Drosophila melanogaster: one gene and its partner. The gene in region 1 interacts genetically with each later gene. Each region holds a gene or a part of one and is shown in the gene's direction. Other genes may lie near its edges. The genes, in order: Ras64B and Zdhhc8.

Region 1 (4,549 bases):
CCGGTGTCCAGCGGGACATCTGGTAGGTGCTTTCTGTGGTGCGCTCCTTGCGCGGCACCGAGTACTGCTTCTTGCGCGAATCTGCAATGACATTGATGCCCAAGCAACTAAGGTTACGCACCATATCCTGATCCTTCGGCGACAGCTGGGCATGCGTAAACAGCTTGGTCAGGTTCTCCTCGGAAATTCCGTTCTTGATCATGACGTACAGGGCAATGATGCGAACCTTGTCGTAGTTCGAGACATTGGCGTCCAGCAAGATGGGCACAATGTTGCGCATATGATCCTTGATCTTTTCGCCCTCGGCGTCCGTGCCCATGGCCAGATCCTGTTCCACGCGGCACAGCTTGTCCACGTAGTTCTGGTACGACTTCATGCAGTCCTCGGCCAAATGCAAGTGGGTGGAGTACTTGGACAGCTCCTTCTGGTACTGCGGCATCTTCTTGATCATCTGCGAGAGATCGCGCATCGACGACTTGTCAGCCGAGCCCATGCGCTTAGAGTCGGTGAATTTCTTAAGGTTCTGAGTCACCTGGGTGGAGACCACAGCGATATGCTCGTGACGCAGCTCCACCCACAAGTCGTCGTTCTCGTCGAGCAGCACCTCCTTATCCGGCTGGTTGGGGCCGGGCGTGTAGCGATACACGTCATTGACGATGGGTAGCAAATCGTAGGCCATGGCCTGCAGGGTGAGCTCGTGCAGCAGCGGCGACACGCAGTCGAAGCCGCGATCCAGGATCAGCAGCTGGGATCGTGCCTTCTCGGGGCCCTCGCCCATGGTGGCATCGTCGGCCTTGTAGGCGTCCAGCTTCTGCTGCACCGACGCGGCCAAATCGATGTTCCTGTCCCAGTCGCTGCGGTAGCGCACATTTGGGTACTCCCCAAGGGTAGCGCACAGTGTGGCTATTTGCTCGGCAATTCGCTCGATGTGCTTGCTCCGAATGGAGGCAAAGGCCGGCGAGTAGAGGCATTGGAATGTGTCCGGCGAGTCCAGCGAGAACACCTGGCATTCGTATGGCAAAAATGCAATGTTGATCTCCTTCAGCGTCTTGATCTTTCCGGCCGCGCACGACTTGCACAGATCGTTGAATAGCTCCTCGGGACAAACTTCGGTGAAGAAGACATGGGCATAGCGATACATGGGCCGCGCTGGGTTCTCGAAGTCTCGTATCAGACCGCGCACTGACTCATCCGACGGCGTAATCAGATAGATCGCGTCCATCGTGGGCAGCGGCTCGCGCTTCTTGTTGATGTCCTCAACCAGGGTGATGCCCTCGGCGCTGATTTCGTGCATCTTGGTGCAGGCGGACACCATGCGCATACCCAGCTTGTCCACCACCAGCACCCGCCATTCCATGCCGCCCGCCCCCGCAGCGGACGTAACGCCCTGCTTTTTGGGTGGTGGAGGCTTGTACTTCACCACCTCGTTCATCAGCTTTTGGCCCACCAGCACTTTCAAGGCCATTTTCACTGCGTTTTATTGGTCACGGGCGCAAAGGCAACTCGATTATGAACACACTGCGTGTAAATATGTCTTTTTAGCTTATTCCGTTCGCTTTTTCGCGTGGGCTAACTTGACTTAAAGAATTTTATCTATTCCTTGGCCAATTTTTCTGTATTTTTTTCGTTTGATGACTTAGCCTTAGTGATGGGCGAAAGTCGATTGCTGGCTAGCGATAGTTGATATCGATATTACTGTCTAGCAGAGACGCGCACCCGTCTCAGTGCGAGTGTGGATTTCTCAGTTAACCGAGAACGGTCACGCTGCTGCTGTCGAGGAAGGAAAATAAAATAATTTTGCTGGCCAACTGGTCGATTTAAACGGGGAAATGCAGATGCAAACGTACAAACTGGTGGTCGTCGGCGGCGGCGGCGTGGGCAAGTCAGCGATAACGATACAGTTCATCCAGGTAAGCCGCCCAGCATCGGCCCAATCCCTGGTGACGTCGCTTTCCACAGGGGCGTTTGAATGTGGGAGTGGGGGGCGATGGCGCACAGGGGCGGTGGCAGGGGGACGGCCCTTGTTTTGGCCAGAGCAACAAACAAGCAACAAGCGACTGTGATGTGCGTCTGTGTTTGGACATGCGTGTGCATAGTTTCGGGCCGAGATCATCACCAACACAATCATCATCATCATCATCATTGGCAGCATCATCATCGCGGTGGCCACACCCCCGTGTGTATCTCCAATTGGGGATCAAGTGGTCAGAGCCCAGAACCAGGGAGTTGCGTTAGACGCAGCCCCCAGTTTTCTGGGTGTGCCGATCGATTCCCCGAGAGTTTGTGCCATGGTCACGACCACAATGACCGCCCGCTTCCATTTATTTTTAGTCATTTGCGTCATCTGCACATCTTTCGTGTATATGCTGTAGCTTTTCCCCAAGATATATAGAGCATAGTGGATAGTGAATGATAAAAGTGACGTGTGTAAACAAATCAAAGGCGGAATGATAAACGCACCCCGCCCACATAAAAAACCCAGTCTTATAATGTTTATATATGTAGTTTTGTGGCCTCGGCAGCTGGCGGTACAATAATTTTAATCCTAATCTTGCAGAGCTACTTCGTCACGGACTACGATCCCACCATTGAAGACTCGTACACGAAGCAGTGCAACATCGACGATGTGCCAGCCAAATTGGACAGTAAGCTTCCTTTCTTTACCCTTACCAGATTCATAATAACCTGATATTTTACCTAGTTTTGGACACGGCTGGCCAGGAGGAGTTCAGTGCCATGCGGGAGCAGTACATGCGCTCCGGCGAGGGATTCCTGCTCGTCTTCGCGCTCAACGATCATTCCAGCTTCGATGAGATCCCCAAGTTCCAGCGCCAGATACTGCGCGTCAAGGATCGCGACGAGTTCCCCATGCTGATGGTGGGTAACAAGTGCGACCTGAAGCACCAGCAGCAGGTGTCCCTGGAGGAGGCGCAGAACACCAGCCGCAACCTGATGATCCCCTACATCGAGTGCAGTGCCAAACTGAGGGTCAACGTCGATCAGGCCTTCCACGAGCTCGTGAGGATCGTGCGCAAGTTCCAGATCGCCGAGCGTCCCTTCATCGAGCAGGATTACAAGAAGAAGGGCAAGAGGAAGTGCTGCCTGATGTAGAAGGAACTAAATGGAAGAGAATCTCCTGAATGCCGCAGCGGAAGCAGGAGCCAACATATAATGATTATAACACCAAATTTTTTGAAAAACACGCGTCGACTGAGCTTTGAATTCCGTTGAGAAGACGATAAACCAGTAACCCGAAACCAGTAACCGCACAAAACGTGTCAACGAGCCCAAACGAAGTGCATTTCTTACCTGCCCAGGTGCATGGCGCATTCAACGAACGAATCGAATAAACTTCGCCACTCTCAAATAGCTACGAAGAATCTTACAACTGACAACTAACAATGCAAAATGCAAACAGAAACACGAAACATAGGTAGATATATACAACAGATTCACACGAATAACTTATATATACATATATATTTCTACATATATTTTTGTAATATTATTTTGTTGATCAACGACAACAATTAAGGACGAATGTTTTCATGATTATTACCAATCGTGGCTCGCAGGCCATTTGTTTTTATAATGCAATAACTAAGCCCAGAACGTTTGTTTCGATTAAGCCAAAACGTAATAATGTGTTATTGTAATTTGTATTGTTATTTACTACTAATATATACGTATACATATATTAACTGCTTACAAACCGATTTTGTTGTAACAAATTGAGTGCCTCGTTCTCGCGCGTAGAAATCTAAAACATCAAACTCTGTATTACACCCACGGCATTTTTGTACTATACCCGCAGCTGCCAGGCGCGCACAACTCACTTAACGATACTTTTGTACATGTCCCCAGTCGGATCCGGATCCTATGGTTTATTGTTCGCCAAATGTATTGCAACAGTTGCTTTAGCCGCAATCTTGTTTTAACTCTTATACACTGCTTAATTTAACGAACTTATTTAATGGTATATAAATAAATATATAATTAAATTTAAAATTAAACATATGCGCAATTCTAATAAACACATGGAGAATCACAAACGCTTCCACATAGAAGATTGTTTCAATGACGCTCTCGACTGGAATTGAAAATTCCGACCCAATCCAAGCAATTATAGAAAGAATCCTTGCTAGTGCTGTGTTAATTACTTACCAGCTGTCTTCCCTTCGAGCTCAATGGGTATAAAAGCGGGCTGAATCGAAGTGGACCAGCATAGAACTCAGAATGAATCCCAAGAGCGAAGTCCTCATTGCAGCCGTGCTCTTCATGCTGCTGGCCTGCGTCCAGTGTCAAGTGAGTGAATTCATATCCCGCTGCAGGATATCCCTTTCTGATGTCTCATTTTATTTTCCTCTATATAGTTGACCTTCTCGCCGGATTGGGGCAAGCGTTCGGTGGGCGGAGCTGGTCCTGGAACCTTTTTCGAGACACAGCAGGGCAACTGCAAGACCTCCAACGAAATGCTGCTCGAGATCTTCCGCTTCGTGCAATCTCAGGCACAGCTCTTTCTGGACTGCAAGCACCGCGAGTAGATAGC
Region 2 (5,286 bases), on another chromosome or scaffold:
ACTGAATGCGTAGAAAAGCGTTTACAAGCGAAATTTACAAGGAAAATCAACTTATGAACGAGTACATCAATTGTTTTCAAGCCAGTTTTATAGTGAACAAAAAAAAGTAGCCTTTATGTTAGTACGCTAAGTTATAAACTAGTTGTTGTCAAAACGTCTAGAAATCGAAAGTCAAAAAACTTTACACGGTTTACAACATTCAGACTGGCTGTTTTGTATCTTAAGCAGCTATTACAAAATTACATATCCATTCTACGTTCGTACTCAAATCGATTCGCATGTCTTTCTAATAAATAAGTTGTCACATTTGATCTTAATGCTATGGACCTATGACCTATCGACCATCAGCTACCCCCGCTTTGATGACAAATAAATGAGGCTTATGGCGGGACAGTCTGACAGCCGTAAAGAAACTGCTAGTGTAAGGGAAGTGCTTAAGTCTTGGGCTGAGGCAGATACTCTCTCGTCGTCCGGTGCTGTCGGTGCTAACCTAACTTAACTAGGGCTCTTAGTTAGTTGCTGCTGCTGCTGTAGACGCTGTGCCTGCGAATGTTTGGCTAGTCGCTCGTCTTCAATCGCTTCACGGGTCCATCGCTGCCCTGCGAGTTCGAGTCCTCAGAGAAGGGCATACTCGACACGAAGTCGGCGCCCTGGCTGTCGGACACGACGGAGAAACCTGTGTACAGATAGAGATCGCATGAATAAGACAGAGTAAACATGTGCTTTGGAGTGATAAATTGTGCTGAATAGGAAATACGCTTTGAAGCCAAAAACCAAATGTAAACAATATCGCTAATGCAAAGACAGCAATTTTTATAGCAGCTCCGCAAGCTTATGAGACTAATGGCACCTCGTAAAGGTCCTAAAATCCATATACTGCATCCTGTTTTTTTGTTTTGGCTCCTAACGCAGTGCTTGCAGACATAGAACCCAACTACTTATTTAAAGAGAACCAGCACATAGCCATCCTTACAGGTGTTAGAGTCCTCGGCGGTTAGTCCCTGGTAGCTGGGCGTGATCTGCGGCGGCGTGGGCGTGCCCTTCTGAGAGTTCTCCTTATCGCTCTTGCTGCCGCCGACCGGCGTAACGCCCGAGCCGGGGGGCGGTCTCCGGACAGCAGCCGATCCCGGCGAGGACTCCAGCTTGGCCTTCTTCTCACTGGCGGAGGCGATGGGCACCCATTTGTAGATTTTCATGGTGGTGTCGCTGATGGTCACCCACTTCTTCTCCCAGTGGCGCACCTTGTCCACCGCCTGCATCACCCGCTTGATGTCATCCTTCGCCCGGCTGCGCGTCTCCGCCCGCACGCTGCGCGACATGTCTGTGGGTCGATGGCGCCTGGTCTGGCTCTTCCTGCTTTAATCGCTTTTCCTCCTTAGCCAAAGTCGGCGTCACACGAAAAGCCGCTAAGTGTTTTCGCTACTTCTGGCTGCTTCACAACTGAACTCTCCCCGTCTGGCTTTTAAGTGGGATCGTGTCTCGTGATTTTGGCTGGTCTCGACCAGTTAACCAGTGGATAGTTCAGTTTTTTTGGCAATTCGCAAAAATATTTTTTAATACAACAAAAATAAGTAATCGATAGCAAGCGTGATTTTCAACTGATGTTATCGAATGATTGCCCGTTGTTTTCACGGGCTGCAGTGTGACCATTGGCTAAAGGTCCGTGCTAAAGTGTGATAGCTTATTAATTCGTGTATGATTTGTAACTCAAGTGCTTAATTTTTGAGCTGAGCTAAATTATTAGCCGTTTGTTTTTGAACAGCTACAACCGTTAAATTTTTAAATAATAATTTTGAACTGTTAGTCCAACGGTTTCTATTATCTGGCAACGCCAATGTTGCCAAATGGTATAATCTAGTATATTTTCGTGTACCATCGTGAGAGTGATGGGCGAAATATCGATGCGCGATGAGTATCGATTTGTCGATTCTTTATCATCGACAACATATCGATATCACAATGCTACGATGTCACTTCGATGGCTCGATGGTTTTTCGATGTTTTTCCACCGACCGACGAAATTATGCGTACGCTCCGCTTATTTTTTATTTATTTTTTCGTAATGCGAACCGAACGTTCGCCGCCCATTAGAATGGAATGAAAAGTCGCACAAAGCCGGGAAAAGTGAAGTTATTTACGCGAATTGAAACTCGCAGTGCGTGCGAGCGAGAGCGATAATTAAGATGAAAATGCAGGCGACGCCGAAATAAAAAACAAAAAAAACGTTGCAGCAACAACGTGCGTGTGCGAATGTATGTGTGTGCGTGCGTGAATGTGTGTGTCTGCTGGTATATGTGAAGAGCCAGGCGAACGAGCAAGAGGGTGATAGGAGGACGAGGAAGAGAAGAAGAAGAAGCAGCGGTGGAAAAGAGAACGAAGAAAAGTGGGGAAAGACGAAAAAGGCAAAACGACAAACGCACACGAAATTGAAAATAGTTGTACGAAAATCAGGAGAAAGCCAGCGATCTTATTTTTTTCTTAAATTTTCCCCCTGGATAATTGATATTAGAAATGTGTGCGTAAGCTAACACCGATACTAACACCAATGCAAACGCAAGGCTAGAATCGCTCCTCGCCCGAAAGAGAAAAAGAGAGAGAGAGAGAAACGCAAACAAATTGGAATAAATTATAGAAATTTAAAATAAAGTAAACAACTCAAATGGCAGGAATTTAAACAAAAGTAAACAAGGGGAACGAGCGATATAAATTAGTTCAACATTTCGGAATTTAAGTTAGAGGAATCTATGTTAGTGTGATATTTTATTTCATTCTATGTTGTCATTTGATAAGTTAAACATTTTACTTAAATGTGCAGCAATATGCTAATTAGCACTAAACATTTTATTTTATTCAATCATAAGTATTCATTTTTTTAAGTGAGATTCTTGGGACTCAGCAGTAAATATAATACGAATTGATAGCGAATGTATGAAATGCGAGTGTAATGTGTCATTTGAAATTGTGATTTTTTTTTCAAGTGAAAGTTAAGTGAAATATTTTTCTTGAGTGTACCTAATCAGTTTCATTTATAAATTTATTTCTGCAATTTCCCCAAAACAGCAGCCGCTTCAAAAGCCAGAACTTTGAAAAGTCGAAGCTGAATTTTCCCCGAGTTTTCCCGATTTTCCGTTTCCCGCGAATCTGAAAGCCGCGCTGCCGGCGTCGCTGTCTCTGCCGCCGTCGACGTCGTCGATCCCGTTTCACGCGTCGCCGCTTCGTCTCGCCGTCTCGCTTGTTTCCCGCCCCCTCTCTCTCTGCCCCTCGCCCGACCCCGCCACCCGACCCTCCTACCAAAAGTACCCCCCCCCCCCAACCAAAAAAAAAAATAAAATCATCCTTAAACAAAATATAAAAGATACGAAATAAAACAACAAACACACAGAGAGAGAGAGCGAGTGAGATAGATAGATTGAGAGAAAGCCAAGTCAAGAAACGTCATCAAGCGGCAGCAGCAACAACAACAACAGCAGCAAGCACAACAACTGCAACTGCAACCAAAACGGCAACCTCATCAGCGACAGCAGCAACAAAAACAAAACGCATTTCATTGCCAAGAAGAAAAAAACGGTCAACGACACTGCAACAACATTGGCCAACAGCAACAACAACAAATCAGCAATACTGAGAGACTGCACTAGCAACAACAACAACTGAAACAACAACCAACAAATAGGAAAATAGGAAAATGCCCAAATGCGATGTGAAAACGCGCTACATTCCTGCGACTTTCGCCTGGATTGTGCTGCTTCTGACCACATTTCTCTTCTTCTTCTATCCGTAAGTAGCCATTTTAATGATAAAATAATTATAAGTTAATATAACATTCAACAGTTTAGTTCAGAAACCTTAAAAAAATGACCAAATACCTTTGAGTTTCTTTCGACTGAATTTCATTTCCATTGTCACAAAAGTAGTGCAATCTGCGAGTGGGTGCTATATATCACTAAATATATATGGTTAGTTTGCGGTGGCTTCGCGAGAAGTTCATGAATATTGAATGTGCCTTAGGCGGTATTCACTGTTGCCACACACGCGTACTTTCCTCTCTCTAGACCCCCCCCCCCCCCCCCACCCTCGTGGAGCGGCGTAATCAAAGACGACCCTTCGGCCTTCGTCTGCCAGCCAAAACCATAGAAAACCAGCCCAGCCACCCACTCAGCTTTCCACCCACCACCCACCATTGGCCCCACCCACATTATTTTCTTAGTAGCTTGCAGTTTTGTTGCTGGCACTTTATTTATTTTGCTCGCATTTTCGTGGATTATAACGACGAGCCGTAATGCATTATTATATGTGGGACAGCAGCTTTGTTGTTATCCAGTCTGGCCCCATTTACCACACCGCCCCCCCCCCCCCTAATTTTCCTTGTCTTAGTCATCTCTCAGTGGCCATTTTACTGCCCCACCGCCGGCATCTCCACCTCACACCGCCCCCGCCCCCCCACACTTGGCACTCAATTTGCAGTTTGCTCTGTGCGGTTTTTTCGCTCCTTTTTGCATTTTGCTGGTTTTTTTTTTTGCGCAAATTGTTTTCGTGTATTTTGGTCGTAAAAAGAATTTCAGTTTTCAAAATGCCGGGGGAAAAATGGATGAAAAAAAAATATGATGATGATGCACGTGGCTCGAGGGTCTGGCAGATTTTCCGTCTATGCCAGGAATACATATGTCACGGTAATTAGATGAAAAACTAGCATATGTTCAATATTTCATATTTCAAAAATATATTTCATGGAGCTAATGCAGCTTTTCCAAAAAACAAAAAAAACATGATAAGATTTGCTGTTTTCGTAATTAATTTGCGGTTTTATCTGAGCACATTATATTACTGCATTATTTATATAATAACATTATTATTAAAATCGTGAAACCTCCGCATGGTATAAACATTTTTTGCTTGTTTTTTTTTTTTTTTTTTTTTGAGACAACTAGAAGGCCAAGGGAGCAACAAATTTGCATAGCATGTGCACAATTAGCACATGAAACGAAACCAAAATAGCAATTAAGCAGTCTGTTTGAGACCCCCGAATGCCTCCCCACTGTCCGCAGACAGTTTTTCCCCATTTAAGCACACAGTTTTCCATAGGTTTTCCCTAGTTTGCCCGCTTCAAGCTTTTCCTAATGACGAGTTCTTGTGGTCAATTGCAGTTGCAATTGCAGCGCTTGGCATTTTCCCCGTTTTTCATCAAATTGCAAACCGTTTTTCCAACATCACCTGAGGACAATTTTGTTCTACTTTATCGTCACCTGGCTTCTATATGGGTCCCTTCCTTTTTCCAAGTACACAGTG

The links.
Region 2: of Ras64B (region 1) and Zdhhc8, changing one enhances a phenotype caused by changing the other (phenotypic enhancement), as found in Drosophila melanogaster (one study listed by BioGRID).

Annotation. Positions count from the first base shown.
Region 1 is NT_037436.4:4,137,350-4,141,898, forward strand, and holds Ras64B (Ras oncogene at 64B), read left to right. Parts: upstream 1-1,726; 5' UTR 1,727-1,829; coding exon 1,830-1,910; intron 1,911-2,557; coding exon 2,558-2,645; intron 2,646-2,701; coding exon 2,702-3,111; 3' UTR 3,112-4,049; downstream 4,050-4,549. Other genes in the region: Rop (Ras opposite), read right to left, coding at 1-1,465; Akh (adipokinetic hormone), read left to right, coding at 4,237-4,305, 4,374-4,544. UniProt on the Drosophila melanogaster protein: May be involved in endocytic processes and/or other transport pathways mediated by vesicle trafficking. May interact functionally with ROP protein. Ras proteins bind GDP/GTP and possess intrinsic GTPase activity.
Region 2 is NC_004354.4:9,352,953-9,358,238, reverse strand, and holds the start of Zdhhc8 (zinc finger DHHC-type containing 8), read left to right. Parts: upstream 1-2,011; 5' UTR 2,012-2,124; exon of another isoform or gene 2,125-2,252; intron 2,253-3,060; 5' UTR 3,061-3,685; coding exon 3,686-3,777; intron 3,778-5,286. Other genes in the region: BCL7-like, read right to left, coding at 558-676, 974-1,319. UniProt on the Drosophila melanogaster protein: Palmitoyltransferase that catalyzes the addition of palmitate onto various protein substrates and therefore functions in several unrelated biological processes. Regulates tissue growth possibly by regulating Ras64B protein stability.